Coturnix japonica: one gene and its partners. The protein of the gene in region 1 interacts with the protein of each later gene in a pairwise test. Links are inferred from orthologs where the notes say so. Each region holds a gene or a part of one and is shown in the gene's direction. Other genes may lie near its edges.

The links.
Region 2: the proteins of NEIL2 (region 1) and REL interact in binary tests that used the Homo sapiens proteins (3 or more experiments, as listed by UniProt). The two-hybrid records come from large-scale screens. The link is inferred for Coturnix japonica from reciprocal best matches to the Homo sapiens genes NEIL2 and REL.
Region 3: the proteins of NEIL2 (region 1) and MEOX1 interact in binary tests that used the Homo sapiens proteins (3 or more experiments, as listed by UniProt). The two-hybrid records come from large-scale screens. The link is inferred for Coturnix japonica from reciprocal best matches to the Homo sapiens genes NEIL2 and MEOX1.

Annotation. Positions count from the first base shown.
Region 1 is NC_029518.1:97,932,615-97,942,467, forward strand, and holds NEIL2 (endonuclease 8-like 2), read left to right. Parts: upstream 1-3,942; 5' UTR 3,943-3,999; intron 4,000-4,061; exon of another isoform or gene 4,062-4,103; intron 4,104-5,021; 5' UTR 5,022-5,060; coding exon 5,061-5,198; intron 5,199-5,347; coding exon 5,348-5,682; intron 5,683-6,331; coding exon 6,332-6,528; intron 6,529-6,739; coding exon 6,740-7,056; 3' UTR 7,057-7,093; downstream 7,094-9,853. UniProt on the Homo sapiens protein: Involved in base excision repair of DNA damaged by oxidation or by mutagenic agents. Has DNA glycosylase activity towards 5-hydroxyuracil and other oxidized derivatives of cytosine with a preference for mismatched double-stranded DNA (DNA bubbles).
Region 2 is NC_029518.1:5,506,180-5,516,072, reverse strand, and holds the start of REL (proto-oncogene c-Rel), read left to right. Parts: upstream 1-5,056; 5' UTR 5,057-5,192; coding exon 5,193-5,199; intron 5,200-9,865; coding exon 9,866-9,893. UniProt on the Homo sapiens protein: Proto-oncogene that may play a role in differentiation and lymphopoiesis.
Region 3 is NC_029542.1:2,903,221-2,913,113, forward strand, and holds the start of MEOX1 (homeobox protein MOX-1), read left to right. Parts: upstream 1-5,179; 5' UTR 5,180-5,442; coding exon 5,443-5,869; intron 5,870-8,527; coding exon 8,528-8,700; intron 8,701-9,250; coding exon 9,251-9,373; 3' UTR 9,374-9,893. UniProt on the Homo sapiens protein: Mesodermal transcription factor that plays a key role in somitogenesis and is specifically required for sclerotome development. Required for maintenance of the sclerotome polarity and formation of the cranio-cervical joints.

The DNA of each region.
Region 1 (9,853 bases):
CCTCAGCTCACGCATCTTGAGCATCGCCTTCATTTCCCCTAGATGGTCTGAAAACCTAACGAATGTCTGTATTTAATAGCAGCTCCTTTCCTATTTATCGCTACACAATCATGGGACTGAGTTTCTAAAAGATGGTTGGCTGAGCCTGGAGAAAGTCTGTCTGAAATCAAAGGGGGATTTTGGAAGGAGAAACTTTCTAGAAGCGGGTAGAGGAAACCCACCTTGGTCATCAAATCCTGGATGAAACTGTTGGGCTTTTCCCTTATAAATAGCTACAAGCCAGGCTTAGAGATTATTGTAGAGCACAGCAGGTGAAAGGTTGCTCTTTAACACTGCTGTGCTGTTGCTTTTGAGACAGTTAATTTAATTATTTCGCATACTGTTCTGTTGTCTTTGTTGTCATTGATGAAATCTGATTGTCGTTTATTGCTCATTGTACTGTGAGTGCCCACTGTCCCCCAGCAGCTGGCTCATGACCATTTGCCATGTCTAACCCTTAAGGATTTCACCTTTCACAACAAGAAAAGTCCTCGGCCTCTAATGGGTGCAGGAAGGGGCCATCTTCTTTACTAAGCATGTGCATAGACTTGCTTGCCTGCAAGAGAAGCTTAACTCCATTCATACACAAGTACTAAACAAAACTCATGCTTTTGTTTAACCATAAGCGTTTTAGCAAGAACTCTGGAAAACTGAGTTGAAAGTGATGCTAAGAGATCACAGACTCATTCCCTTGTCCAAGAGGGATCAGTTCTACCTAACTTACCTTTAGTTGCTCTTTGTCCAGCATGTGCTTCACAAAATCCAGCAATGCATACGCTACAGCTCCTCTGTGCCATCTAAATGCTTCTACAGATGCTTGCCACCATGTTTGCATCATAATTGCCAAGGAGGGACAGCTTTGCCTGTACAGGTAGAGAATTTCTGGGACACCTCATCCTACAAGATTCTCCAGCCTTGTTTCTGTCTGCTCCCAAACTCCATTACCCTCCTTCTTGCCTCCCCAGCTCCTTCTTTTCTTCCCTGCATCCAGAACTTGACTATGGAACTGCCAGAAGAGGGACGGTGCGTCCCTACAGAACATGCTGAAGGATATAAGGTGCCACCCTCCATCTTAGACTCACTCTTCACTATTCCCCCAAGGAGTGTTTCTGATGAAATACCAAGATACGTGGCTTGGTGAAGAGGAAAGCCACAAACATGGTTGAAGCAAAACCAAGACTTTGTATTATCTGTGTTTGAGCTCTCTATTTTCCTCCTGATGGCTGAAAAGTTTCTTTAAGGAGAAGGATTCAACTGGACTGGTCGTGACAGATAGTTGAAATGGAGCACAGCAGGGAGCTGGTCCCCTCCACAATGCCCCTGCTCTGCTCAGTAACTCAGATTTGCAGGGGTTTATAGGGATGATAGAGACTCACCTGGAGATGTGAAGCCATGGGGTTGTCTGGAAGGTGTTTGCACCTTGAGGCTCCTCAATGAGCTTCCCCATAAGAAGTGTGGTCTTCCCATTGACGAGGAGTGCCTTTCAGCTGGCTTATGGGAATGAAACTCCTGACCTGGGAAGGTTTTCCATCTGCCACTTGCAAGATAACCACAGAATTTACACTCTGTCCTTCAGAGCTAATGTAAGGTCCAAACTCATCAGTTTATTAACTACAGACAAGGAAGAGACGTTCAATGAAACACTAATAAAACATTACCCTGAAATCCTGTGGTTCTGTTGAAGCCCAGAAGCCTGCAGAGAAGAGGCCAGAAATAGCACCTAAGAACCTGAGTTTGGGGTGAAAGAAAACATGAAGGTGTTTCTCCAAGAGCACGCAGGACATTAGTCAGTCTCCTCCTTGTGCTGCGTTGCTTTGAACTCCTCAGCCGAGATCTCTTGGGATGCAACTGTGATCTTGTCTGTGACAGAGAAGAACACACCCCAGAGGTGCCTCTTGGCTCATGCACACATTTCAGATGTTTAAAACTAACCTGGTCAGCCCGAGGAGGAGGGAAGCAGGCAGCCTCCTGGAGAGGAACAAAGGTCCAGACCAAACGTGCAGCATTTCTCCCTCAGTGCTTATGCTCCCAAAGGCTTTTTCTGCCTTGCCCTTTTACTCCTTGTGTTGTCTTCAAAGCCAAAATTCCTGGCTGAAGTTCTCTCCTGTCCATAAAACACACTCCTAAGTGCCCTAAAGGAGTCTGCTTGCAATGCCAAGCAGAAAAACCCTGTGAGATATTAAGTCTGGTGATTCCCTGGCTCACATCCCCTTAGGTTACCTAAATGACAGAGTTGGGCTAACTGGTTTTCTGCTTCCCACACAGCCTTAAAAACTGAACACTGAGGAGCATTTACAAAGACCCTGATAACAAGACATCTGCTTTCATGAGGTTCTATGGGCTGCAAGGACAGCTCAACCTTTTCGTGGTAGAAATGAGCTCTTTTGCCACTCCTTTTACAAGCAGTTGAAGTTCAGATGCACCTCGGATTGCCAACAAAGCATGAAGCAGCAGAAATGATGCATGAAGGGATACTTAGAGGACATGAGAATGGCAGTCCTACCAAGAAGTTCAGCTCAACCTGAAAATCTGGGGTTACATTTGAGCTCTGCTTTCCTTCAACTGATAGGAGAAGCACAGAGACCCCGCCTTGTTAATGAAATAAAATACAAGTATTAGAGACTTACATAGTAAAACAAGAGTTGCTATTATTACTGCTACAATTTATTCCATTGCAGCATGTCTGGATGTCCAGCTGAGGACCACTAGCCAGATAACTTCCAGAGGTCCCTTCTAGCATCAACCACACAACGATAGGCCTGAATTTGTGTATTTACACACACACACAAAGTACAGAGCTGAGAACCATCTCTTCCCTGAAGAGAAAGAGCAAAGAGCCTGGTCCTGCAAAACGCTTGAGCGCATCTACCAACGTCTTTGCAGGAGTTGTTCCCTTAAAGCTCAGCATTAACCATACACATAAACCGGGATGCCAGCACACATCTGGGTTGTGTCAAACCAGATATCATTGCTACGGCTCCACGACGAGATGGGAAGATGAGAACTGGGATGGAGAGAGAGGAAGGGGTAGAAAGGTCATTTATCACTTTTAAATGTCTTTCCTCCTTGTGAAAGTGCAATATCTTGAATTGCATTGATGTTTTTTGTTTGATAAATTAATCCAAAGAGATCCATATTTCACTTGCAATTACATGGGCTGATCAGACACCTTCTCCGATCAGGAGGAGCTCAGGAGTATTGCAAGGGAGCTTTCGAAACCAATCAACAACTCTCAATGTAACTGAATACGACAGCAGTTAATATGACTGAAGCTGTGACTGTGCCAGGGGTGGCGTTCGGTTTTGTTTGTTGGTTTGGGTAGTTGGTTTGTTCTTTTCTCATACATAAAGTTGGAAGATTCCCATGTCAGCTGGGGAAGTCCCATGGAAACAGACACCGATTTGTAAGGGGGAAAGAGGGAAAGCAACCAACTGAACAAGCTGTAATTATTTAAAGATGTAAAAAATATCTATGTTATGAAGTAGTAATGGCTACCAATCCACGTAATGTCTACACCTTTAGAACTAATGGAAATAAAACAATAATAATAAAACCAAAAGGCTGCTGCTTGAATCTTGACTTTCCTGGTGGGCTTCCAGGGGAGGATTGGGGGTAATTGAACGTGTATACAGCGTACCTGGAAAAGCAATGCTTATTTTAATGCATAAGGAGAAAAACACCCCAAGGTGTTTTCCACCCTGAGCACAGAGGGAAAAGGATGAGTTCCTATGCTAGGAGGGCACCTTCATGCCATCGTAATTCATCTTTTTGCTCTTTTCACAGACATGGGCTTGTGGAGCACATTGCTGATTTAGCCTAATGGCTTTCAGCTGAGCCCACAGATGCCACCCATAAGCTGAAAGTGCACACAACCCTCATACAATAACCTCCTCTGCCTGGTAGGGCATTTAGAGCCTTTCCCAGTTCAACCAGACTCTGGGTCCTGGTGTAATTGGTGAGGTGGGTGAGGCCAGCACTTGAAACCTCACTCATTTCTTCCTAAGCAGCCAGTGGAGGAGCTATTGCTGTGTGTTAGTGGGTGGAAGGGCTTTCTTTGTAGCAGTGTAAGAAGGGATTTTTTGGGTGTAAAGGATGGGAAGAGGGCAGTGCTGGTGTGGGTTGAGAGTGTTGGTGAAGTGACTGAAGGCAAGGGAGTGGTTCAAGAGCATGAGGTAGAAAAAGCTGGCAATGGAATAGGGAAGAGGGGAGGAGGCTGCTCAGTCTGCTGTGTGCAGGTTAATGGCTTGGGGGCTGGGTGTAGCATTTGGGGCAGGGGAATGTGCAGTGAGTGCTTGCTTTGGGGGATGGAGGGGGTCTGCATTGTGTGTGAAGGTGTTGGGTGACTTCCCTGTATTGTGCTGCTTGGTGCCTGGATAATTGGGGTAAAGACGTGAAGGAAATGGGCAGAGCCCTTTGTATCAAGAGCTGATCCCAAGGATTTGGACTGCAGCTGGCACCTTTAGAAGCAGGCATGTCTTCTAGGTGGCTCTTGACCTGTTACTGGCTTTTTGCCTGCAGTCTGAATGTGGCATGGAGCTAAATGGAGCTAAGGTGTGATTTGATTACTTCCTGCCCTAGGAAGCGCAGGGATTAAGCTCAGTCTTCTGTTGCTGCTAAAGCAATCATGTTTGTATAACCAGTTAATACCTTTTTATTTCATGTCTTAGATCCAGATAATGTTTTCTGACATACTAAAAGGCTTTGGCTCACTGCAGCAAGGCTTTATAGCTGTGCTGCCTTGCCCAGCCCTATTGAGGTACATCCACACCCCACTGCAGCTCATCACCCTGTGTAGGTGGCTGCTGGCTTCTGCCTCTTACGGGCTGAGAGCTCCAGTGGGTGAGGATGTGTCCTTGCTCAAGCAGAAGATGGGTTGGAAGGGGCAAAAGCAAGCCCCACTGAAGGCTCTAGTTTCAGTTGCTGTGGGCTGTTGCTTCCCTGTGTTTTTTAGCTCTTTTTATCAGCTGCAAGTTTCCCTTCAGCTCTAGGGCAGCAAGTGTGAGAAGGAGAACCATTTAGAGATGCCAGAGGGCCCATCAGTGAGGAAGTTCCAGCTGCTGACCTCACGTTTTGTGGGGCAAGTGGTGGCCAAGGTGGGGGGAAGCAGCAAGAAGATTAATGTGAATGACCTGAATGCCTTGAGGCTCCAGGATTCCCAGGTGAGCTGTGCTGAGCATGACCATAGCAAACTGTGGGCTGGTCTGAGAGAGAAGCCACAGCTGTCCTGCATCTGTGCATGAAGGTGTATGGTCTGAGAATGGCATCAGTACCTCCCACTTCTATCTATCTATTTATTTTCCCCCTCCAGGTCCATGGGAAGAACTTATTCCTAGCATTTGTGGCAGCCAGTTCTCCCTTAGGACCAAGCGTGGAGGAGACTGTGCTGCAAAAACAGGCTGTTGCAGCATCTAGTTCCTTTGTTCAGGGAAAACAAGAGCAGGTTTGCACTCAATCGACTCCTCCCCAGGAAGAAGAGCTGCAGGAACTGCAGGACTCCAGAGCTGATGCCCCAAGTGCAGCAGGGGAGCTGGGAGGCAGTTGGCTGCGCTTCCACTTTGGCTTGTTTGGCAGCATTCGGGCAAATGAGTTCTCAAGAGCAAGCAGAGCCAATAAGAGGGGGGACTGGAAGGACCCTACACCCAGGTATTTGGCAGTCCCTCCTTCTGTCCGTCTCCTCCTTCTTTCCCCTTGGTGTTAAAGGTGGTGACATTGTGTGTCTTAAGTAGATGCGAGTCGTGTTCAACCAGGGAGTCATCACTGGTTGGTTTGCCTTGGGTGTGCTTCACTGTCTTGGTGTTATGTGTTGTTCCCTTAGTAAGAGGTTTTCTGCCCTCTGCCTACTCCAGCCTCAGCATCTGACTATTAGACTCACTGTATTATTATTATACTGGATAATCACTGGATTAATAGCATGCATCTAAGAGACAGCAGTGAGAAGACCATTTGTAGGAGCCCAGGTCACAGGTGGTGTATTAAGAGGCACTGGAAATGGATTAACAAGGGGTAAATACTGAAGGACAGTGTGGACCCAGCTCTTATGAACTGTTTAATTTGAGGTTATGGAGTCTCAATATCTACTTGTACGTCTTCCCATGCAACTGGCTGTAGGGATCATCTCTGTTTGCTGCTGTCTTCAGAGCCTCCAAGGCAGCAGGAGGGATAACTGTCCATGAGTTGTGCAGATTTAGAACCTTAAAAGCTGAACTGCTTTCTCAGCAAGCCTGGAGAGAACCGAATATAAACAAATGGATTAGGGATGTTTGTGGCTAATGATCTCCTCTGCTTCTCCCAGGCTGGTGCTGTATTTTGAGAGTGGAGGCTTCCTTGCTTTCTACAACTGCCGAATGCACTGGTGCTCATCTCCAGTGGCTGATCCCACTTCTGACATCCTGTCTGCAGAGTTCCACCGTGGCCGGGCATTGGATGCCCTCCGCACATCCCATCCCGTCTGCTACACCCTCTTGGACCAGAGATACTTCTCAGGGCTGGGTGAGATGCAGAGCACAGTGGCAAAGCAAGGAAGGGGAGGGTGGGATGCCTACACCCGGATCTGCATGTTAGAAGTTCTAATCTTTAATGTTATGATGTTGGGTTGATCTGCTGAGAGGGTACACAGTCCTTTTGGTGGACCTTCAGGCTGAAATCGTATCGTGTTGAATAGTAACATCCTTCCCATCTCCTTATTTCTGACCCTTTGCAGGCAACATCATTAAGAACGAAGTCCTGTACCTAACTAAGATCCATCCTTTAACACAAGGATCTCTCTTGGCTCAATCGGATCTGGAGCACCTGCTTGATTGTGCCATCAGGTTCACCTCCGACTGGCTGCAGAGCAAGCTGCAAGGCAAAGGGCTGCACCTACACATCTATCAGAAGGAGCAGTGTCCTCTTGGGCACAAGGTGATGAAAGCAGCCCTAGGAGCCCCGGGTGGCTGGAAGAGGCTGACATGGTGGTGTCCTGAGTGCCAGCCTGCTGTGCTGTCAGGGGGTGGGGATCTGGCTCTGGGTGATGAGTGACGTGGCTGTGTTCCTGTCTTTCTCTAAGGTCTTGTGTCGTTCAGTGTTAGATAATCCCTTGTCTGCTTAGAGATGGGTGTGCGTTATACAGCAATGGGGTGTACGTTATACGGTGACCAGGTGTGGTTGCAATTAAATGGTCGTTCCCTCCATCAGCTCTTAGCAGCCTCCTTCCAAAGGCTGAAAACAAACCTCAGCAGCGCTCGGTGCTGCTCATCTCTGCCCACCTCTGATCTGTGTGTGTCCCATTGGTAAGGATGGCAGTGCTCATTAAAACCCGTCGTTAAGTTAATTAGAAGACCCCATAAGGACCCCATAGGACCCCATAAAGAGCCCATAGGACCCCATAAGACCCCATAGGACCCCATAAGGACCCCCCGAGGATGCTCTAAGAGGGGGCTGAGATGAGGTGGGAGGCGGGGCAGCCATTATTAAGCCCCTCCTCTCGGCCACGCGAGTGCCGGTGGGCGCCGTCGCCCAATCAGCTCCTTCCGCCGGCCGTCACACCAGCTTCGCCGCTCTCCTATTGGCTGGCGCAAGGCTGGTGCGAGCAGACGTCACCCAATGAGCTCTCCTCACGCTCACCGAGCCATGGGACGAGCGAGCTGATTGGCGAAGGGGGCGGTGCGGCTCCGCCCATTGGCTGTTAAGCGGGGGGGGTTTGAGGTGGTGGGCGTCGGGAGCGCGCACGGGGAGCGGGAGCGGGAGCGCGCGTGGTGGCGGTGTGACCGTGATGGAGCTGCTAAAGAAATGGCTGGGGCACCCCGAGGACATCTACCACCTGCTGCGCTTCAAGATGGGCGGGTACCGGGCTGTGATGCCTCGTATGGACCCGGTGAGTGCTTATGGGGGGGTCGGTTGCTATGAGCATCACCAGCTTCCTTTCATTGCGCCGGGTTGGGCTTTCCATTGCATCGCATGGGCTGTGAGCAGCGCAATGCTAAGGAGCATCGCGGCTCTTTGGGACGGCACGCAGCCGCGGTGCTTTGCAGCAGCTTCCTGCTTCTGGCTGTGCGTGCATCATAGCTCCTAGGAGCATTGCATAGCCGGGGTTGCTTTGCCTGTATTATAGCTCCTAAGAGCATTGCATAGCCGGAGTGCTTTGCATGTATCATAACTGCAAGGAGCATCGCACAGCTGGGATGCTCTGCCTGTATCACAGCTGCTGTGAGCATTGTATAGCCGGGATGCTTTGTATGTATCATAGCTCCTAGGAGCATTGTATAGTCGGGATGCTCTGCATGTATCACATCTGCTGGGAGCATCTCACAACTGGGATGCTCTGCATGTATCATAGCTCCTAGGAGCATTACATAGCCGGGGTTGCTTTGCCTGTATTATAGCTCCTAAGAGCATTGCATAGCCGGGGTGCTTTGCATGCATTACATCTGCTGGGAGCATCGCACAGCTGGGATGCTCTGCATGTATCACAGTTCATAGGAGCATTGTATAGCCGGGATGCTTTGCATGTATCATAGCTCCTAGGAGCATCGTACAGCCGGGTTGTTTTTCATGCATTACATCTGCTGAGAGCATTGTATAGCCGGGATGCTTTGTATGTATCATAGCTCCTAGGAGCATTGCATAGCTAGGGTGCTTTGCATGTATCACAGCTCCTAGGAGCATCGCACAGCAGCGGGATGCTCTCCATGTATCACATCTGCTGTGAGCATTGTATAGCCGGGATGCTCTGCATGTATCACAGCCGCTGAGAGCACCCCACAGCCGGGCTGCCCTTCAGCAGCACCCCATGCTCTGTATCAGCCCTGACACTCGGGTACCCCGCACCGCTTTTTGCACCGTGCCGCTTCCCCCTGCTCCCCGTGCTCCCGGTACATCGCATTACCCGCATGGCAGTGCTGGCAGGGGGCGCGCCGCTCTTAGGGGGCCGGTCTCGGGGCGGAGCCCCCTCCCTTAGCCAGCCCCCATACCCCACCCCCCCGTTGTGCCCATGGCGGCCAGCAGCAAAGCCAGGGCTCTGCTGAAGCGCACGTTGGCTCTGTCCCCCCCTCGGGGCGCACCCCGCACGGCGCTGGGGAGGCTGCGGGGCGGAGGACGGAGGGGACAACGCAGCTCTGCCGCCTTCCCCGGGCTCCCCCCGGCCGTTCGCCTTCAGCCCCCCGCCTTATACCCCCCGTTGTGCCCGCAGGACTCGCTGGGACTCGGACTCCGTACCTGTTATCGCTACCTCAATCAGACCAGCCGTAGCTTCGCCGCCGTTATCCAGGCTCTGGATGGAGAGCTGCGGTGAGTGGGGTTGGGGGGTGGTCGAGGGGGGACTGCAGTGCTCCCGTGCACTGGGGTTGTGATAGTAGGAGGGCTCTATGCAGTGTCCCCAGGCTCTTTGGCGGCGTGGCTGAGCAGATCTGGGTGTCCGTAGTATTTGCATGCATTTGGGGTGTTTGGGATAGCAGCAAGTTTGGATCATGTAATAGTGCTGGGGGTGTTGAGATAGCTGTGGAGTTTGTACAGTGTCCCCATAATGCTGTGGCTGCTTGATTTGTATGGCAGGAGGTGGCTATGCAATATCCCCAGGCATCAGGGCTCCATGTTTGAGCTGCTTTAGGCTCTGTGCAATGGCCCTGAATACTGGGGGTGCACGGTTGGGCTGAGCAGGGGGTGTGGAGTCCATGCATTGCCACCAGGTGTTCATGCTGATGGCCAGGGGTGTCCATGTACGTGTCTTATATACCAGCACTAGTTGGCTGTATTGGGTGGGAGGTGTCCATGCTACGCTGGGCCACTGGGAAGTGCTCTACCACATTGAGCAAAGCTTTCCAGGAGGTGCTCAGCTCTG
Region 2 (9,893 bases), about 92 Mb from region 1:
ATCAAGGTGTATTGTGCAACAGATATCTTGAGGAATTATGGTTTGCCCTATCTTATTGTTCCTTTTAATAAAAAATAAGTCACAAAATTGATATATTCTCTATTCATGGAGAAGAAAGTAATTTTTCCAGGCATCTGAAATACCTGAAAATGCTTTGAGTCTTACAGTGACCTATACATATGCTATACCTAAGGCACAATCATATTTTGGACTGAGGATTTTGTTTGGATATTTTCTATTTTTAGGAACATTAACATTCATGAGTGGAATTGCTATACAGGTAAACTGTCATTTATCAGATATATTGTTATGGGAGAGAGACCAGCCACTACTTGGATTACACAAGACATCGAATTTTTCCCCAAGTGTCTTAAAAACAAAATTAACAAGTTCATATAGCAACTGCCAAATGAAAGGTACGGTGAAACAGCAGAACTGATCACTGTGCTGTGTGTGATGAAGACAAAGGGCTTCAGCCTTTTAACCAAGAAAGAGCAGATAAAAATTGTAGTTTAACTAGAATGTTGGCTTTTTAGAAAATGCAAATGGTTTTGCTGCAGCATATCATTAAATTGGATGCATATATATGTAAAGTCAAAGCACACTGAGACTAGCTATTCAAATAGTGAGAAGCAGCGGTGCTGGTTGTGGCTTACTCACAGCTCTTGACGGTAAGACTCTATGTGGTGAGGTGACATGATGACACAGCTCTAGGCAATTTGTAGAAGGGGCAAAGCAGGCCCAGATAAGATGACAGCTGGCCAGTCTACAAACTGTTTGTGGCTTTATGCATAATTTTGTTCCTAAAATATGTTTATGTTCAGCCTGAAGAATGGCATCCTTTCTGTCCTTTCTCACCATCTACGAATGGTGATTCCTAGATGTAATCCTTGAATTATATGATGTGTGAGTCACTGGACCAGAGATTTAAAAATAAGTCATGAAAAACTTCAAACTGAAAGATGTATCTAGTCGTTCTATGTTTAAACAATTCATTTTTCTTTTATAATTCTGGCTGTGTATTTTGCATTCCAAAATGGGTGTTAAGTGGATAACACCTTTTGCAAGCCCTCAAGGGGAAAAAAACGGCTTGTATTAAAGGTTTGAATGAGTGATTGTTATTCCCTGCAGGTCAACCCAGTGCTTCTCTGATACCACCACAGTCTAGGAGTGTTCATGGAAGTGTAGTGTAATTGTGCTCAGTGCTCATGGATAAGGATTAGAGTTTTGATGGGTGGACTGTTCAATGGATGAAGAGCTGGCTGCAGGACCAAGTCCAGAGAGTGGTGGTCAGTGGCTCAGTGTTTGAGTGGAGTTGTGTCCCCCAGGGGTCGGTGCTGGGCCTGATACTTCTAATATCTTCATCAATGACATCAACAGTGGGTTTGAGTGCACCCTCAGCAAGTTTGCTGCTGACACCAAGCCATGGGATGCAGTTAACACACCAGAGGGATAGGATGCCATTCAGAGGGACATAGGCAGGCTGAAGAGTGGGCCCAGGTAAACCTCATGAGGTTCAACAAATCCAAATGAAAGATCATGCACCTGGGTCAAGGCAACCCCCATTATCAATACAAACTGCGGGATGAATAGATTGAGCACAGCCCTGCTGATAAGGACCTGGGGGTACTGGTTGATGGGAAGCTGGATGTGAGCCAACAACATACCCTCACAGCCCAGAGAGATGATTGTATGCTGAGCTGCATCAAAAGCAGTGTGGGCAGCAGGGTGAGGGAGGAAATCTGCCCCTCTGCTCTGTGCTGGTGAGGCTTCACCTGGAGCACCTCGGGATAGGAGGGATGTGGACCTCTTGAAGTGCATCCAGAGAAGGGCCGTGAAAATGATCCACAGAATAGAACACCTCTCCTATAAGGGCAGGCTGAGAGAGCTGGGGCTGTTCAGCCTGAAGAAGAGGAGGCTGTGAGGTGACCTAAGAGTGGCTTTTCAGTATCTAGCAGGGAGCAACAGGAAAGAAGGGAACAGACTCTTTAGCAGGGTCTGTGGTGACAGATCAAAGGGAATTGGTTTCAAGGTAGATTTTGGGTAGATATAAGGAAAAAGTAATTTATACTGAGGGTGGTGAGGCACTGGTTCCAGTGCCCAGTGATGTGGTTGATGCCCGTCCCTGAAGACGTTCAAGGTAAGGCTGGATCAGACCTTGTGCAACCTGATGAAGCTGTGTTGTCCCTGTGCATTGCAGGGTAGTTAGGCCAGATGTCCTTCAGAAGTCCCTTCCTACGTTAAGGATTCTATGATTTTAAAATAAACAGCTCACTCCTTGTGAGGTTGCATCATAAATGAATAAGATGGTGTGAGAGCAAGGAAGTATTTTCTGTTTTCTGTTGGGGAAGCTGAGGCTCAGAATTAAACAACTTGCCTAAGAGCAGAAGGGCTGACTTGCCAAGAGCCAGATTCCAGTCTCCTGAGTCAGAGCCTTGTGCCTTATCCACAAGACCAACCTTTCCCTTGTAGCATTTCCTTTCTCTCCACCCTGTTTTGAGGCGAGGAACAGTAGCATTGTTCTATGTCAAACAAATTTAAAGCATAATACAGGAGTGCTCCCAGCAGAATGGCTGGAACAACCTTTGAGTTTATTATTAATCTGGAAGCCATGACTTTTCTTGGAATGGCTTCTGCATTGGAACCCTCCTCAGCAGGAGCAATAACCACAAAAGCTTTAACCACTAAAAGACCTGCCAGTCTTTAAATAAGAGGCTTTTGAGAGTAAAAAAAATAGTAATTAGAAACAAGAAAAAAACCAAAACACAACCACACAACACATGCTTAAAACAATAAAAACTTTTCAAAAGGCATGGCTGGAAATTACGATTCAGGGGAGTGTGTGAGACATGAAATATCTGTCAAGAAAGCAGGACTTCTAACGTGGTTCCATAAGTGGTCAGGATATTTATTTTTAAAATTGATGCTTTTTATTCATAGTACATAGTACTATGGATACTAGGAGAGCCTAGTTCTGTAAGTGCCTTAATGCCTGCTTGCATACTTAATCAGGCTGGTGACAAGTGGCTTATCTTTGATATTTCAGGTAGCTGGGAAGAGAAAATAAAGGCTTAAGTTTGCCTTTGCTGCTCGGTGGCAGAGCAGGCTTCAGCAGACTTGATTATGCAATGCCTGTGCTAAGCATTACTAAAGGGCCATTATCTTAGGGTTGACAAGTATCCTGTCAATCACTCTGTTTTCTTTCGCTGTAGGAATTGTTTTTGGGTTTGTTTTTTTTTCCCCCACTCTGTCCTTTTCTCTTGCTGCCCCTTAACATCCTGGGGTTGTTCAGCCTGGAAAGAAAAGGCTTCAGGGAGACTTCATCGCAGCCTTCCAGTATTTAAGGGCAGTTTATGACATGAGGGTAATCAATTGCTTACACAGGTAGATAGTGATAAGACAAGGGGAAATGGTTTTGAACTACAGGAAGGGAGATCTAGATGACTAGATGTCAGGGGGAAGTTTTTTACTGAGTGGTGAGGTACTAAAACTGCCCAGAGCGGCTGTGAATGCCCTGTCCCTGGAGGTGCTCAAGGCCAGGCTGGATGGGGCCCAGAGCAATCTGATCTGTTACTCGATCTAGGGGCTAGCAAACTTGCCTGTGGCAAGAGGGTTGGAATCTGATGAACCTTGAGACGTTCTATGATTCTCTGCCAGATTAGGAAGCTGAATTCCTTGCAGAATTTCTTACAGCAGTCTCAGTGTTAACAGGGTCAGCTGATAGAAAGCAAAAAAAGCAGGAGCGAGGACTCGTCTTTGGATAAGTGGAGAAAAACGGGATCATAAACCACTTTAACTGGAAGACAGGAAGTGAAGCACTGGATCAAACTGGTCTAAGAATTCTGGTATCTTGCCTCTGGCTACACAATAGCCAGCTGACAAAAATAAGTGATGCACCTGGCTTTTGTTATGCAATGCTACAGGAGGGGAATTCCGTCCTATTTGCAAAGATCTGCACATGCCCAAAGTTATGACATGTTCTTAAGCTTTCTGTCAGTTGCTGACTGGGTTTCTGTGATTACTAGTACTACCCTGCACTTCCCAAGTTTGCGTCACTCTCATGGGGATGATCCCATGCCATAAATTCAGCTTGAGGCAGAGTAAAACTGTACAGGGTTGTCACTGGAGTAGAGCATCGTATGCTTTCATGATTTTGAGTAGGGCTTCATTTATTTGGTTTGGTCTTTTGCCTTAGAAGGCTTCTCTCTTGCTGTGCAACTTTCCCCTCATCTAGGAATATAAGCATATGGCAAAAGAGCTACACTGGGTTTGTTTTGTCCCAAAGATATGCTCTTTGCTATGCATTTATTTGTGTCTACTACTGCACAGAGAGAAATGGGCAAGAAATTTCCGCTTGCCCTGTCCTTTCTCCAGTCACTTTGTTCAGGGATTTCCTGAGCCAAATCCATCGTATTCCATTGGTAGGTGCAAATAGATTTGACACAGTGAAGCACTTCTATTGCTGGCTTTACTCTTGCTTAATTAAAGCTTGTTTTCACTTTAGAGGAATATAGATTGAATTGAATTCTTTTGGACGTGAAGAAGTACACCTCTCTTAACTTTTCCTTAAAAAATAAGACCACAATGAACCATAAAGCAACAGCTCGTGTCATAGTGTCACAGATATCGCCGTGTGTTAGCTAATTCCTCAGTCTCTGAAGTAGTCCTGAGGAATACCTCTGGTAGCCTGTTCCTGCAGGCCCGAAGACTTACACATCAAAAGAACTGGGTACTGATGTTTTAGTCATAACAGATGGCGGTTCTATTGCTTGGAAAATTGCCTTCCACATCAGCGTACGCCGTGTACCCTTGTAACATCGTTTTCCTTATGAACAGGGCTTCTGCTCTGAGGAACAAAGTTCCCCAGGTGCCTCTGTCTGAGCTTATTCAGCAGTGCTGTGTTTAGGGCAGCACCGAGCTGTGTCCTTCCAGTCTCAAATCGAACGAACCAAGCCGGACCGGCCCAGCCCCCGGCTCGCACCGCTCCTCCACCGCGCCCAGGCCGAGCCGCCGTCCCGCGCAGGCCCAGGCGCTGCGGGGGCGGGCAGGGGGCGGGCCGCGCCAGGTCGGGAAATTCCCCCCGGAGTAGGGCGGCGGGCGGGGGGAAAGCGGGCTTGGTGTCGTCGGTGTGAGGAGCGGCCCCGGAGGGCAGTCCGCGGCGGCACGGCCCGAGCGGCGGCGGAGCTGTCAGCATGGCGGGTGAGCGGCGGGGCGGGCGGAGAGCGGGGCGGCGGTGGGGAGCGGGCCGCGACTCAGGCAGCGCCCTGCTGCACGGCTGGGGAGCCGGCCCCGGGGGAGGCACGGGGCAGCGCTGAGACCGGCTGCCGCCCTGTTCGTGAGCAGCTCCTCTTCCGTCGCGTTCCCTCCGGCCGAACCCCGTCGGAGGCTTCCGGCCGAGGAAGGAATATCGTGAGGATGTTCATATCGGTGGCAGCGACGCCGTCCTGAGACCGTCACGTCTCAGAACGGGGCTTAGAATTCTTAAATCGGTGCTGCTAAAAACGTTTGGGTGTTCAATAAGTGCTGGTGTGGCGGATCTGGGGCAGGGCCGTCAGCAGGCAGGAGCCATGCGGTGCCTGTCCCGTGGGCGCTCGCTGCCGGGAGGATGCAGCTGCGTAAGGAACATGTCATAAGTGCGGAGCAACAGAGATAAGGGATCTTCTTTGGGCAATTACGTTTAAAAGCATAATCAGGTTGTTGGTTTTATCTTTTTAAGGCTAAGTTAAAACTCACATATCGCCCTTTCAGAAGGTGTTCCTTAGCTGTCTCTTTCAGGCTGGGCAGCATTAGTTGGCGTTATGGGAAGGAGGCTCTCTGCTCTCAGCACCAGCGCTGTGTGCTCTGCTACCCTTAGCAAAGTACAAACTTTCACTCCTGTCAAGCGTGTGCTTGAGAAGGCTGAACTGAAGCAGGAGCTAGTGCTTTCTTCTTGCCCTGAATGTGTTTTCAGTGTAATTAGGAACTAGATAAGGATTTTTTCAGCAGGGGAAGTTCACAACTTCCTGGTACTAGCCAGCTTGTGTCATTGTTTTTTTTTTCTTTCTCTGTTGGTTGTTGTTCTGTAAGGTCGTACGATAGTAAAGAGGAAGTTAGTGAGCCGTTTTGTTGTCGTGTTACGATCTGTGCGGTTCATGGGTTCCGCAGTGGATTACTGCTCTAAAATAAAATGGTGAGTGCGCTTGGGGTTAGATGAGATTGAAGCAGAGTGTTCTATGACAAACCTTCCACCAACTCTTCTTCCTGAGTTCCTCTAAGAGGCTGAGTGCAAGTAGGGCAGGAATGTGCAGGCAGTTGCTGCTGCTGCTCAGAAATGGCCGTTGCTGTGGAGGACAGAAGGGCAGCAGTAATCTCTAAGAAGGTGTGACATCAAAGCTGAAGGGCAACACTTCTTGCTTCTGTGTTTCACTGCTGTCACCTGAGATCATCAGAGTTTCGGGTGATACTTTCACATCTCCCACAAAGACCCACAGCTGCTTTGCTTTCAAGCTTGGTGATTGCTGGAGAGTATGTTCACAGGGTACTACTCCTGGTCATGCAGGAGAATGGCAAATCATATAGTCCTCCTGAAGCATTATTCCTTTGAGCCAAGGAGTAACATGGGACGGACGGGACCCATCGTCCTTCTGGTGGTAGTGTCTTACAGCCGTGTTCCTCCCTGGTGGCACAGCCATGTTTAGCTTCAAACTCATCATGGAGAGGTCTTTGAGTCTGTTGTTCCTTTCTTATTACTCTAACAGATTAAGCAACCTTCTACGCTTAAATAGGAGCACGAGCTGGCTGTGTTCTTGGTGCTATTACTGACCTTACTTAGTCTCTTTATGTAGTTGAGATTTGGTCTCTTGTATTTCCTTTAAAATTGTTTATTGTAGAATTCAGAGCATGGGGGCAACAAGCAAGTAGGTAATAGAGATAGCTGTGTGTTTCTTCAAAAACTAGTGAAGGAGGAGAGCCTTAGGCATGGCTCGTAGTGGTCTGACAAATGTGTGGAAAGGAGCTAGTAAGCTGTAAGGACTGACAGCTCTCTGTGTGCGAGTGTAGGTTGTGAAATAGTTAAACCACAGCACTTCACAAGCACATTGCTCATTTACAGAAATAGGGAACGCCAAACAGACCTCCACTTCACTTCAGAGTGCTGATAATACCTTTGGCTCATGCTGATACTTTCATGTGTTTCCTCTATGCAGAAAACATAATGACAGTGACAATTGTGGTAGAGATGATAATGTGATACTTAAACAGAGAGAGTGAGAACCAAGATTGAAATGAATTTGAATGTTTAATCTCTGGAGGCTGCCGTGTCACAGATTTGCTTTTCCACAGACACACACCTGCAGTCAAGCAGTGGGTTTGCTTTCAGTGACACTTGTTTCAACCACAGTCCCAACACAATCGTTGAGCACAGAGTTTTAAAATAAAGTGCTCTGAACAGGGAAGAAAAAGAGTCCTCATAAGCAAGTGTTAGTAGAGCACGATGGGAAATTGATGCTTAAAGCAGAGAGGATTAAAGACTTGAAGCGATTCTGTTCTGCAGTAACTTCTAACAGAAAGGCTCTGCCTCGTCTTGGCAAACACGTGGGCGTATGGTGCGTCTGGTTAGCAGCTTTGTAAGCATGTGTACCTCCAAAGTAAGATGATTAGTAGGTACTTTGCTACAATTTTGTCATTATAGTGTCTAAAATAGATTTTTAATTTAGTAGATGGATATGTGTCTATGTTTGTGGTACGGTGTTACGTAGGAATGGAGAAGTGAGATTCTTCTCCCTCTTCAATTACGTGATGGAAGTGGGAGGCTGACTGGTACGCTGCCATTGCTCCTCACTGCTGGCAGAAGTTGCCTGTTGCCTTGTCCACTGGGTTGTCCTGAACAGGATAACATAAGTAAATGTGAGTGAAGTTATAAAGCTGTATGCTGGGGAGTGAGCTTGGCTCTGGGAACTCAGACTTCTCATCTCCTGAAACCAACTTTATGTCATGTCTCGGCTTTTTTGTTACTAGTGTCCATCATACCCACTTTTGCTGGCATCACTTATTTTCCAGAAGGAGAAAAGGAACAAAGCTTACGTAAAGGGAAGGCTAGAAAAGATTTGGCAAGTGCCTATGGAAGTGGCCATACCTGTAAAGGAACTGGACCTTGAGCAGTGTCTATGCATGCTTGATGTGACAGCTCCTTGTTTGTTTTGAGACGCTGGTTTAAAATCAGTAGTAGATGATCAGTTGAGATACTGCATTCTGGTAAATTGTTATAAAAGAACGTGTAGAGTCTTAAACTGCTCTTCTCTAATGCTTGGAACAAAACACAACCTGGAGTTGAAATGCTTTATGGCTTTTTAAGAAAGTGTTCCTTTTGAAGAGGCATGTGTTGTTGGAGGCAGTTTTGGTGTCAGAGCAGCTTTCGCACTCTGCTATTGCACAGCTGTCTGTCAGTGTGTAGTGGCTGAAATGTGTGTTCAAATAAGACCAAGCTAACATCTCAGAAATGGAGTTCTCCCATTCTCTACTTAATTACTTTGTAATATCTCCTCTGATCTGGGGTGTGAACTGCTGGAGCACCGTAAATCTTCTACAAATCAGCAGACTCCAGTCATAAAGTTCAAGCTTTGTGTTGGCAGATATTGTAGGTGCAACAAACGAGAAGGTTTCATTATGGAGCTAAGACTGTAATCCACTTATTTGACAAATTCATATACTAAGTACCTTAGGCTAACTAGACCTTGGGCAAAAGGAAGTAGGGAATCTTTTACCCTTTTAATGCTTTCAATATATTTAATAACTATTTTGCTTTTTATGTTGAAGTCTGAGTGCTGTTTTCACATTGCCTGTTGTGTTTCTGATGTTCGCAAGCCTCGCCTGAGTAGGATGCTATTATACAAAGATGACAGAGAGCTCAGTAGATGTTTCCATAAGCTGTGTTCTTCTGATCATAGCAGAGCCGTGATGATTCAACCTCTACAATATTTACTTATCCTCTGCTGTTTGTTTTTCACATGCCATCTCACTGTTGTCACTATTTGATTGACTGTCCTGTTTGATGTTCACAGTGAGATACATTAAATAGCTAGTTACTGCCTGGCAGTCACACTGCTATAAAAGTGGTGATACTTTTGCTAAGGTAATGTCTTTCTAAACCTTTCATTGAAGAGATTTGTTGTCTGTCATTCTCATCTGTAACTCAAGTTTGAAAACATCGTGAGACCCAATAGTTTTCAGTAAGTGATTTGGAGAGTTACTGCGACTAATAGCTGGCCCTGTGGGGTGTGGGCAGCTCAAGCTGTAGAATTCAATACAAGCCATCAGGTAATTTCTGAGCCCACAGTGATGGTATTCAAACCAGTAGACTTTTTTTTCTTCCTTTCCTGATTTGCATAGTTTCTGCTTCAATATAATAGGAACTAAATCAGTATGGACTGAGAAAAGATCTTCACTTTCAGAGGGCATTCAAGCAAACATAATATTGATGGAACCCGAACTTTGAGGAGAGAACCGTATTATAATAATGAAGAATGTTAACCATTCTCTTGAAATGGTGTATTCTGTTGTATGAAACATTATTTCATCAGATACGTGCTCTCTAAAAGCTAAAAGAATCTAAAATTCTGGGTGAGATGGAGGGGAGGGTGTCCTGTTTATTATTAATATGGCATTGATACCTGGAGATTTAATGTAATGTCTATTAACACCATTTACCCTATCATGTGCATTCATGTTTTAAAAAACATTTATCATCTGAGAAGACAAATCAAGTGAAAGATGAATAATATCAGTCAAAGAGTGGAGACCTTACAGTTTTCACATAGCATTTAACCATATAGCCTGCCTTCTGCTTCTTTTTAAGCTCTAAATTTAAACAGATTTGTTTTGTTTTAAGGTATCTCAGAGCCCTACATTGAAATATT
Region 3 (9,893 bases), on another chromosome or scaffold:
GACAGAGGTGTGTATGTTTGTATATGTGTATGTATAACTATTTTCAATCATACAATGTGAGTTTTTCTGCATGTGACCCCTTCGATCCCATCACCTGTAGCTCCCGTCACACCTCTAAAACTCAAACCTCCACATTGGAGCCATAAAAGTAGTCAAAAAATAGCGAGCTTTCAAATAAAAAGGTTACAAGCATCAGGTTATGTGCTGTGCAGTGTGATCAAGCAGTTTCCAGACAGAATTTTCCCTTTTTAACACTCTCCCAAACTTGGAGCTGACCACCTCTCTTCTGCTTTTTGTTTCTATTGCTCTTTCTCCTCAAATAAATTATCACATAAGTGTCTCTGAGCACATCTTGAGCTTCCTGTACCTGAAACAGTCTGGGTTTTTTTTTTTGCTCCTGTGAAGCCAGCAGGTTTAATTAATACCGGAAATATTGACTTAGTGCTAAGAGAAACATTATCGTTAAATTAGAATCCTGGGGGTAGCGGTGCCAGCTGTGGGGTGAGACAGACAGAGTGGGAAAGGGGAAAGGAAGGAACATGGCAGGGAAAAGCCTTCAGGGCTCTGGTCAAGGCTTGGAGTGAGCAGCCAGGGCTGCAGCCCATGGAGCCAATGGGAATCTAAGTGTAAGGGGCAAAAACAGGGATAAATTCAGGAAGAGCTGCAGAGAAAAAGTGAAAAGGCAACAGTAGGATAGAAGCTGGAGAGTGAAGGGAGAAAAAGAGGGGAAAGAAAGGGAGTGAAAAAAAAAAGAAGAAGAGGAAAAAGACGAAGAGGAAAAAGACGAAGAGGAAAAAGACGAAGAGGAAAAAGACGAAGAGGAAAAAGACGAAGAGGAAAGAAGAAGAGGAGAGAAAAGAAGAGAGAAAAAGAAGAAGAGGAAAAAGGAAGGAGTGAGGAAAAGAAGAAGATATAGAAGAACTGGGAAAACAGAAGAAGGAGGAGAAAGAATAAAGAGAAGGAGAAAAAAAGGAAGGAGGAGAAAAAGATGGGGGAAAACAAGAGGGGGGAAAGAAGAAAGAGAAAAGAAGAAGAATGAGGGGGAAAAAAGGAGAAAAAAGTATTTTAAAATACCATATTTTGCATTGCCAGGTTCTTCATCATTTGCAGAGGTGAAAATTATGAGCTCTTCTGAAAAGTTCTATATTCAGAGTGAGCGTTTAATCACCCGTATTTCTCGTGTTCGTAGGAAATTAAATAGGCTGAGAAATGAGAGGTGTGCTTTGGAAGAAAGGAAAGGGCAAATGCAACAAGCAGATCTGTCAGTCTCTTTGGAGGTATGAGAGCAATGAGTGCAGGTAGTCAGATGCAGCTTGCGAATGGCTCAACATAACTGAGGGCAAATAGGGAACAAATGTGATGCTGCTCTCACTGCTCCTGCTGCTGGAGTCCCAAGGAAAGCAATAGGAAGAAAGAGGAGACAGCAAAGCTTCCAAATGAATTCAGTAACAGAACCCCATCCTTTCTCCCTTCCTTTTTAAGTCAACTGTTTGGAACAGAACAGCTGAAATAGGAGGTGGAGGATAAAAGCTCGAGTCATTAAATCAATGCCAACTGAAGTATTTTCTTAAGATTGCCCCTGAGATAACGCTTTTAAGAGCACCATAGCAAAGAGACCATCCAGATTAATTAATGTATCAAGCACAAGATCACCCAGACTCAATATTCTCTGCCATTGCACTGACTGTGTTGGACAGAAATGCAGATCCAGCATTAATCTCTGGGATGGACAGCTTCACAAATCCCATGTCCATGCTTTGCTTAACAAAACATTGCTTGGACGTGTGTAGCTCTCAGTCGCTGCTCACTGTTCTCAGCCTATGTGTTGGGGAGGGAAATGCTCATTCCACTGCTGTTCCTTTCCAGTCGCCTTCGTGTGCAGAAGCAGTCAGGGGTGTTTGCCTCAAACCTCAGGAGATGCAATAGGAACCTGCTTTCATCTGCTTGTGGATTTTGCAGCTAAAGCATGAGAGTGATGTTAGGATGAAAATGTGGCGAACAACAGATGATAGGATTATATATATATACAGTTTAAACTTATTTTACTATGTTTTTCGGCAAAATCCTTCCAGGCTTAAAGCATGAATGGCCATGTAACCCAGGGTATGTGCTATACTTCAGCCTCAGAAGATATTTGGGGCTTTTTCTCTAGTAAGATTGGCCCCAGGTCACATCACTGCTGCATGAGTTCTGCCTACAAACAGACACCAGTCCCATTCCTAGAAGTTTGGAGAGGTGAATCTATCAAACAGCTGATATCACCATGACAAACCACTTCTTTTCTAGAGGTAACACAGCCTTTCTCACTCCATTTCCTCCCCCGAAACCATAAAAACCCTCATACTGGTTTCCTGCAAATCCAGGCCTTTTAAACCAGACTAATTTGCCATAGGGGATTACAGCAAAATGCAAGTTAATGTTTCCTGACGTTTTGTCCAATAGCTAATGTCTTTTAATATAGCTCTTTAACCACACAGCTCTTTAGCTTTCATTTCAAGGAGATCATCTTTCCCTCCCAGGTTCACTGTCTCGATTAGCCCAAACTTTACACTTTTTCTGTTCTTTTATTCCTTTAGGATGCTGAGAAAACTATTAAAATTGACAGATGAACCCAGAGAGCCCATCTCTGGCCTTGGCATTTCCTTTCAGCCCCAGCCCTCTGCAGGTGGAGTGAAGCCCCCCCAGGACCCGATTTCCCCTCTTTCCTGCTCATGCTCCATCTCTCTGTGTGTTTATCCCTTTGCTTACTACTCATGTGCCCACTCTCATTTCTCCAGCCACCATCTTTACACATGGTGGAGCAGACAGCTCCATCCTCAATACCTACAAACCAACAGCCTCTATAAATTGGGACAGCAGCTTTCAGTACACGCAGTGGTTACTGTTCCTGCAGATATGTGAGTCTGACACTGAACCCAGATCTTACTATGTAGATATATCCTTATGTAGATCCTAACCCATCCCACCATGCCCATTACTGTATCCCTCAGTGCCACATCCACATGGTTATTGAACACCTCAAGGGACAGTGACTCCACAACCCCCCTGGGCAGCCCTATGAGAAGAAACTGTTCCTAATTGTTCCTGGGTTTGAAGCCTATGGCACCCATCAATCCTATGTTTCCCAACCAACCTGGGGTCTGGCAGAAGAGATGTTGACTCTGCAGAGGTTAAAGGTGGCTGCCTTGTCCAACAAATGGGCTTGGGCAAGAGGGGAGGGATGTTGTTTTTGCTTCCTTCAGGAATGAAGTGTCAGAAAGATGCAGAGGGCAAACAAGCCCCCGCTGGGCTGCTGAGTGACAGCAGCAGCTGCAGAGAGTGCTGGGGCAATGCGGGACTGGGGGGTTCCCACATTTGAGGAGGGTCTGCCGTCTCCTTTTCCCACATCTGAAGTCAGAGGAACAACAACAGAAAGAGCTCTGTGGGGAAAAAGGGGTCCGAGTTTAACTGAGAGTGCAAAGTGATGTGCAAGAACTGAACTGTGTGCCATGAACAGAGCCCTGCTGGGGTCCCATGGGATTCCTGCACGGAACCTGAACCTTCTCCTGGATAAATGGAACAATACATCGGCAGATAAACTTCCCTTCTCTTTTATTTCCCTCAAAATTCATGCATAGACATAAATGAGAAGTAGACGATTGTTTAATTAGCTGGAATTGGGAGTAGGGCTGGAAAACACAGACCTAGGCTTGAGCTCATGCAAATCTCTACTACCCCAGCATGACTTCGGTGGGTGAACACAAGTGAAATATTCTGCATTGACAAAACCACTCTAGGCTATACCATGGACCCTTCTGGTGCCCAAAATATCCACACATCCTTTGCCACCTGGCCTTCCAGACAGAGCAATCTGTTCTTTTTCCTCCTGCCAGGCAGTGGGAAACGTGTCTGAATGTTTGCTCTCTGAACAGATTGAATTATGTAGGAGAGCCCTTCCTGGAGGATGATTTGTGTTTGGCATTTTGCAAGAGAGTCACATTAATGTGAAGGTAAAAGGTGATGTTCTTGATCAGAAAGATCTGGGCTAAGCCCACCTGATTGCTTGGAAAAGCCCAAGCTATAACCCAGCAGGGATTGGGATGAGCAGACTTCTCCCTCCATTTGATTCCTTTAAATGTCACAACTCTGAATTATACAGAAGCCAAATAAAAGTAGCACTTAAAGCACTTAAAGAAAGAAAAACGGAGGCTCTGTGCCCATCTGATAAATCCCTCTGTGTCTACGAGAGCACAAACTCAGCCCAAATGGTGGGATAAAGGGAAAGAGGCGCACACCTATAGGGAGGCATAGCAAAGCAATGGAGCAGGTCGCAAGCAGATTACAGAAACACAGCACATGTGGCTGTATAAATTACCCCTAAAAACACACAAACAGTTGCAGTAACCCCAGTGCAGCCCTGCAGTGATATTTGGGGTGTTCCCAGGTGCCAACCCTCTGTGTCAGAGGGATGGAGAGCAGATTCCCTGCTAACACCCATGCAGCAGCAGCGGCAGCTCCGGGGTCTGCGAATCTGCTTTGTGTTAAGAAGAACCATAAAACTTTCAGCAAAAGATGAAAAACACGTCTCACATTGGCACAAAGGCAGATTTCCTTGTAGGAAGGAGTGGCATAAAGTAGGATAGAGAAAGAATAACTGCCACCAGCAGTAACCATCAGCAAATACAAGTGTTACCGAGCTAAAAGAACAATAATCCCTCCAAAACTTTGCACGTGCACAAAAGTCACCTAAAACAAAACGTTACAACCAGGCCTTAAATCAGTAAATAATCAGTGAAGTGCTTTCTTACTTTTATTTCCCACTTCGCTTCTTGGCTTCAGGAATCTGCTGAATTCCGTATGAAGGGCTTTTTCCAACCTCAAAACTCGGGGAATTTTGTTAACAGTGCAATAAAAATAACTTCATAGTGTCACAGGGAAACATTAAAGCCCTTTTTTGTGCACTGCTCTTCCCTCCCCCCTACCCCTTTTTTTCTTTTTTGGGGGGGAAGAAAAAAATACAGACATTGTTTCTTTAAAAGTCTCCATCTGCAAATCCCATTAGATGTGCATATAAGGTTTCGGATGATTAATAGGTGCTGCTTTGCTTTGGTTGGAGGGAGCGGGTGTGTGTACGTTAACCCCTCCCTCCCCTCTCTCACATTTCACTTCACAAAGTTGTCACTCTCTCCCCAACATAGTATTTAAAAAGTGTTTCCCTCATGTCCAGCACTTCACAAGGACTCCAGCATCAGCTTTGGGACTCTGTTTGGGGCGATCGCCTCCTCCATCCATTTGGGACAATGAACACCTCAAGAAGAGTTTCCAAACTAACAAACCTCCAACCTCACAAACCCCCCAGCCAAAGTGTCGTTTAGGGAGGAAATCTGGGCTGTCAAATCTGGAAACATTTCCCCTCCTCTCCTCTCCTGCTTGAGGAACCTGAGTGACGAGCGTGGGACGAGGATGAACCCCACCGGAGGCAGCTGCATGCGCAGCCCCCAGTCCCCAGCCCCACTCTGGGGGTGCCTGCGGGGTGCCGACGTCCCCACAGCCCCAGGGTTGGGTCACTGCCCCCCAGCCCCTTTCTCCTTCCACCCCAAGGTGGATTTTGCTGCTTATTCTGAATTCTCAGCCTCCTGCTTGCTGAGCTCTGCCCACTGCGTCCCACCTGAGGAGCAGCCCCCAGCTTTCCGTCCTCACTCTGAGTGGCAGCAAGCAACAACAGAGGCCAGGAGACTGCTGAGCCCAGGGCTGGTGTTGGCCTCTGGGGACACAGAGAGCCCCAACGTCGTGAGCACAGCAGCGGGTGTAAGTGAAGATTACGAGGTGCCAGTAAACAGCACGATGGAGACAGAGAGAAAAGGATCCAAAAGGAAAAAGGAGCACTCAGGTAGGTGGCGTGGAAGTGGGGGTGTGGGGTGGGATGGGGAGAATATCTCATGGAGTAAAGCTGATGGAGGAAATATTTTGTGATTCTTGACTAGGGAAAACTATGCAATATCTCAATGGAAATGAAGTTGCTTGTCCCTTGATGACCTTTGGTGTTTGAGTTTTGCTCCTTATTGGCTGAACCCAACCCTTTAGGCAGCAGCTCAGTGCCAACTCAGTGCCATGCTGCGCTCAGAGCCCTAGGATGGCAGATCCATCCCACTGCTCTGCTGCAGTCCAAGGGTGATAGAATGGGGATCAAAGGGCTAAGGTCCCATCAGCTGCCCGTGCTAGCTGGGAATGCCACTCTGGGGTTTTGAACTGCCCACCAGTAGAATGCCCAGCAACATGGGAAACAATCAGTTTTCATTGTGCCATCCTTGCCAACAAAGCACCTTCTTCCTGAAGCATTCAGGAATTACAGACATAAGACATCTGGTTTGTTACTATTTCAGTTCTCCCGATATGTGAAATATGCAGAACATTGCTTTCTCCTAAGGAAGCTGTTAAGATTCAGATGCTTCCATGCAGACATTTTCTACAGTATTCATTTGCAAACCACAGAGTATTGAGAAGCAGAGGGTATTTTCCAGCATCCCCATTTTATGGTTTCAGAGCCAAGACATGGAAATGTTTCTAAGATGTAGAAAAGATCAAAATGCACTTAAATCCTCAAAACTTTCTTTAAAGAACCAATAGATTCAGAGCAGCTACAGAACGGTTTCACTGTGTGATAGTAATAGGAGTATCTGCAGTAAGACCTCACGTGTGAGCACACACATCCCCTTCTCTTCCTCTACCAGTGTTCATTATTTAGATGCCATTTTCAGCCCTGGTGTCCCAGGCACAGCAGTGACCTGAAGATGTCAGTTGGCTTTGGGGGAGCTTTCACAGCTGCCCCTGTGCCTGCCACCCTCTATTCTATGCTGTACAATTTAGCAAAGCATTTATAGAAACCCCTTTGCAATTACAGCATTAAAGAGGCTGAAAGGTGTTGTAATGACTTTGGGCTTCATACATCTTTCATTTACTACCAAGGAAAGACCTAACAACACCACTCAAGCAGCAAGGAAATTCCAAGCCCTAACCCTAAACTAAATTAGCCTTTAAAAGCATAAGATAAGCACTGAAAGTTCTGGGATGCCCACTGGGTGGAGGTTGAGTCTAAAGAAACGCCTCCCTCTGATTTCACACGTTGAATGTTGTTGAGAATGGCCAACTGCAGACAGGCAGTTTGGATACCCCAACTTTAGCTGATGATTAAGGCATGAGCTGAAGGATAAGACAGCAAGAAATAGGCATTGCTGTAATGATGTGTAGTAACATAGTGATTCTGACAACTTTGCTAAGTCATGCCTTTGGGTAAAGAGGGTGCTTCATGCTTTCAGGTCCCATTAACAGCCACAATGGCATAGAAAGCAGAACATAAGGGCAGGTAGAAACTGAAAACCTGAGCAAGAAAAGTGTAGGGAAGTCCCTCAGCAATTTAAAGTGATCTGGGGGCAGAGCTCCATCTGTCACCACCCCGTGTGCTCCACTCCATGAGGTGCCCACTGAAGTTACTTGTGGTTATTACTTTATCGCTGGCTGCCAAATGAATCAGCTCCCCATGAAGTCACTTCACTTGGCCAACGTTCCCAAGAGCTTTCAGGATTTTATGCCCCGTGTGACAGCAAAATCCATCTTACTACTTGATTTGCAATAAATCTGCCCTCAAACTCTTTACTAGGGGGAGAAAGCAACGTTATGCAGATACTTTGGATTTTTATTATGCCTTCTGCTGAGGGAAAAACTGCACTGACAGTGGTTTGCAGAATAACAAGCACCAGGTGCCTCCACCAGGGCTGTGGATCACCACAATGACCAAACAACCTGTGTTACCATTGGTGACCCCCATGCTTGAGCTTAAGCTGCTCTGAGGGATCGGAGAACCCCCTGAAATGCCCAAATCCTGCATTGTGTGGTCCTTTCACCTTCCCCAAAGCAGTTTGCCAGCTAAGCCTCTCTGCCATACATCTCCTTTCAACACCAAGTGGGGCACTGCCTGCTCTGTTCCCAGAGGCTATTTCAGATGATTCACATTGTTTGGAGATGAAGACCAGTGACACCCTCAGTGCCATTTGTCCAACAGTTTCTGCTCAGCTTGCAAGCAGCTGAACGCCTGCAGGACTGAGTGCTGAGTCAGGGAATGCCACTACCCCAGCACTGCTCATTTTCCCTCCCAGTGTACTCAGGCCAAATGCCAGCCTATGGTGCTCACTCAGCAACCTTCCCTTCCCCCTGCACCATGCACTTATATTGCATCACACACCGTGCTCACAGCAAAGTGCTCCCTTTGCCTTCAGTCTGCAGCCAAAATCAGGGGAGGAACAATGTGAAAGGCACAGGGAAGGAAACTCAAGAGTGCTGAGTGGGTGCAGTGAGAGTTTCCTTCCTCCTCCTGCTCCCTTTGGCCCTTGCTCCTGCAGTTCAAGTGGTTCACCCCATCCCAACTTTACCCCTCGAAGCAAAGGCTGACAGTGCTGAGCTCAAGGGGACACAACGCGCTTTGACATCGCTGTAGGGCACACATTCACACAGATCAATCTAACTGCAAATTGCACACCTGCTTGCCTCTTAGAAAGCCAGCCCTCCAGCAGCAAGGCAGAAGGCAGCAGCAGGTCGAGGAAGGAGAGGACAGCATTCACCAAGGAGCAGCTGCGGGAGCTGGAGGCAGAATTTGCCCATCACAATTACCTGACCAGGCTGAGGAGATATGAGATCGCCGTGAACCTGGACCTCACTGAGAGACAGGTACTCAAACCCCACCCCTTGCTGCTTCTCCCTAATGCTATAACACTCCAGGGCTGTGCTGCAATGGCACAGAGGTGTATTACTCTGTAGGACATGGTTTTGTGGGCATAGTAGCATTGGGTTGATTGTTGGACTTGGTGACTTTAGTGGTCTTTTCCAGCCTCATAATTCTATGATTTTAACATGAAAACTCCATGTTCTTTTAAAAGACATCCATTAAAAACCTCTGTAAGCAGTTAATACTTGCAGTTCTGCTTCTCTAAACAAACAAAAAAGCCATTTGGGACACATCCTGAGCTGTTTGGAGGAGCCATTTGGAGCCATTTGGATTGCCAGGTATAGCTGATGAAGATGGATTCCAGGCAAAGCACTGTGCTATGCTGGCTGGTCTTTGAAACATCTGCCTGGAACACCTTCATTCAATAGAGAATGCTTAAACCTGGAAGGTTCCTTCCAGTTTTTTCTCTAGAATTCCTCAAAATACATCTATCGACACACAGGAATCAGCCTGCTGGAGGCAATAACTCATTATATCCTTTTCATCCTCCAGGTCAAAGTATGGTTCCAGAACAGAAGGATGAAGTGGAAGCGTGTTAAGGGTGGACAACCAGTGTCCCCCCCTGAGCCCGATGCAGAGGACGCTGACTCCACCACATCCCCCAGCTCTGAGTAGTGCCATAAGGAGATGCTTGGAGAGGGTGTGACACTGCAGAAGGACACTGCAGCCCCATATGGTGGCCCTGTGGGTCACGGACTGAGAAGTGCGCAGTGCTGGAGCTGGTAGAGGAAAATGGAAAGCACAAAATAAGGCAAAGGAGAGCAGGACTTTGAGCTTTGTGTGAATGGGACTGTCTTACTGCCATAGGGTTACCTTTAGAAGAAAAAAAAATAAGAGAAAAAAAAAAAGAGAAAAACCACTGTATATATAGCAGGAGTAATGCTGTTCAGGCTCCCAAATGCTTACCAAACGGCCCATGCGTCATTCCTATCCTTCCATTCTGGTTTGCTTCCATATATGATCTTCTCCACCTCTGAGAGTGTCCATCTGATTCCAGGACACTTTAAAGCCATTCTCAAAGCTGAAAGAGTGTATAAAAGCAGCTTTCTAGCATAGGATGACCACAGGACCCAGACCTGCACACTCCTTTTCTTGCACACTGGTTCTCTTTCAATCCAAACCTGTAATATAATTA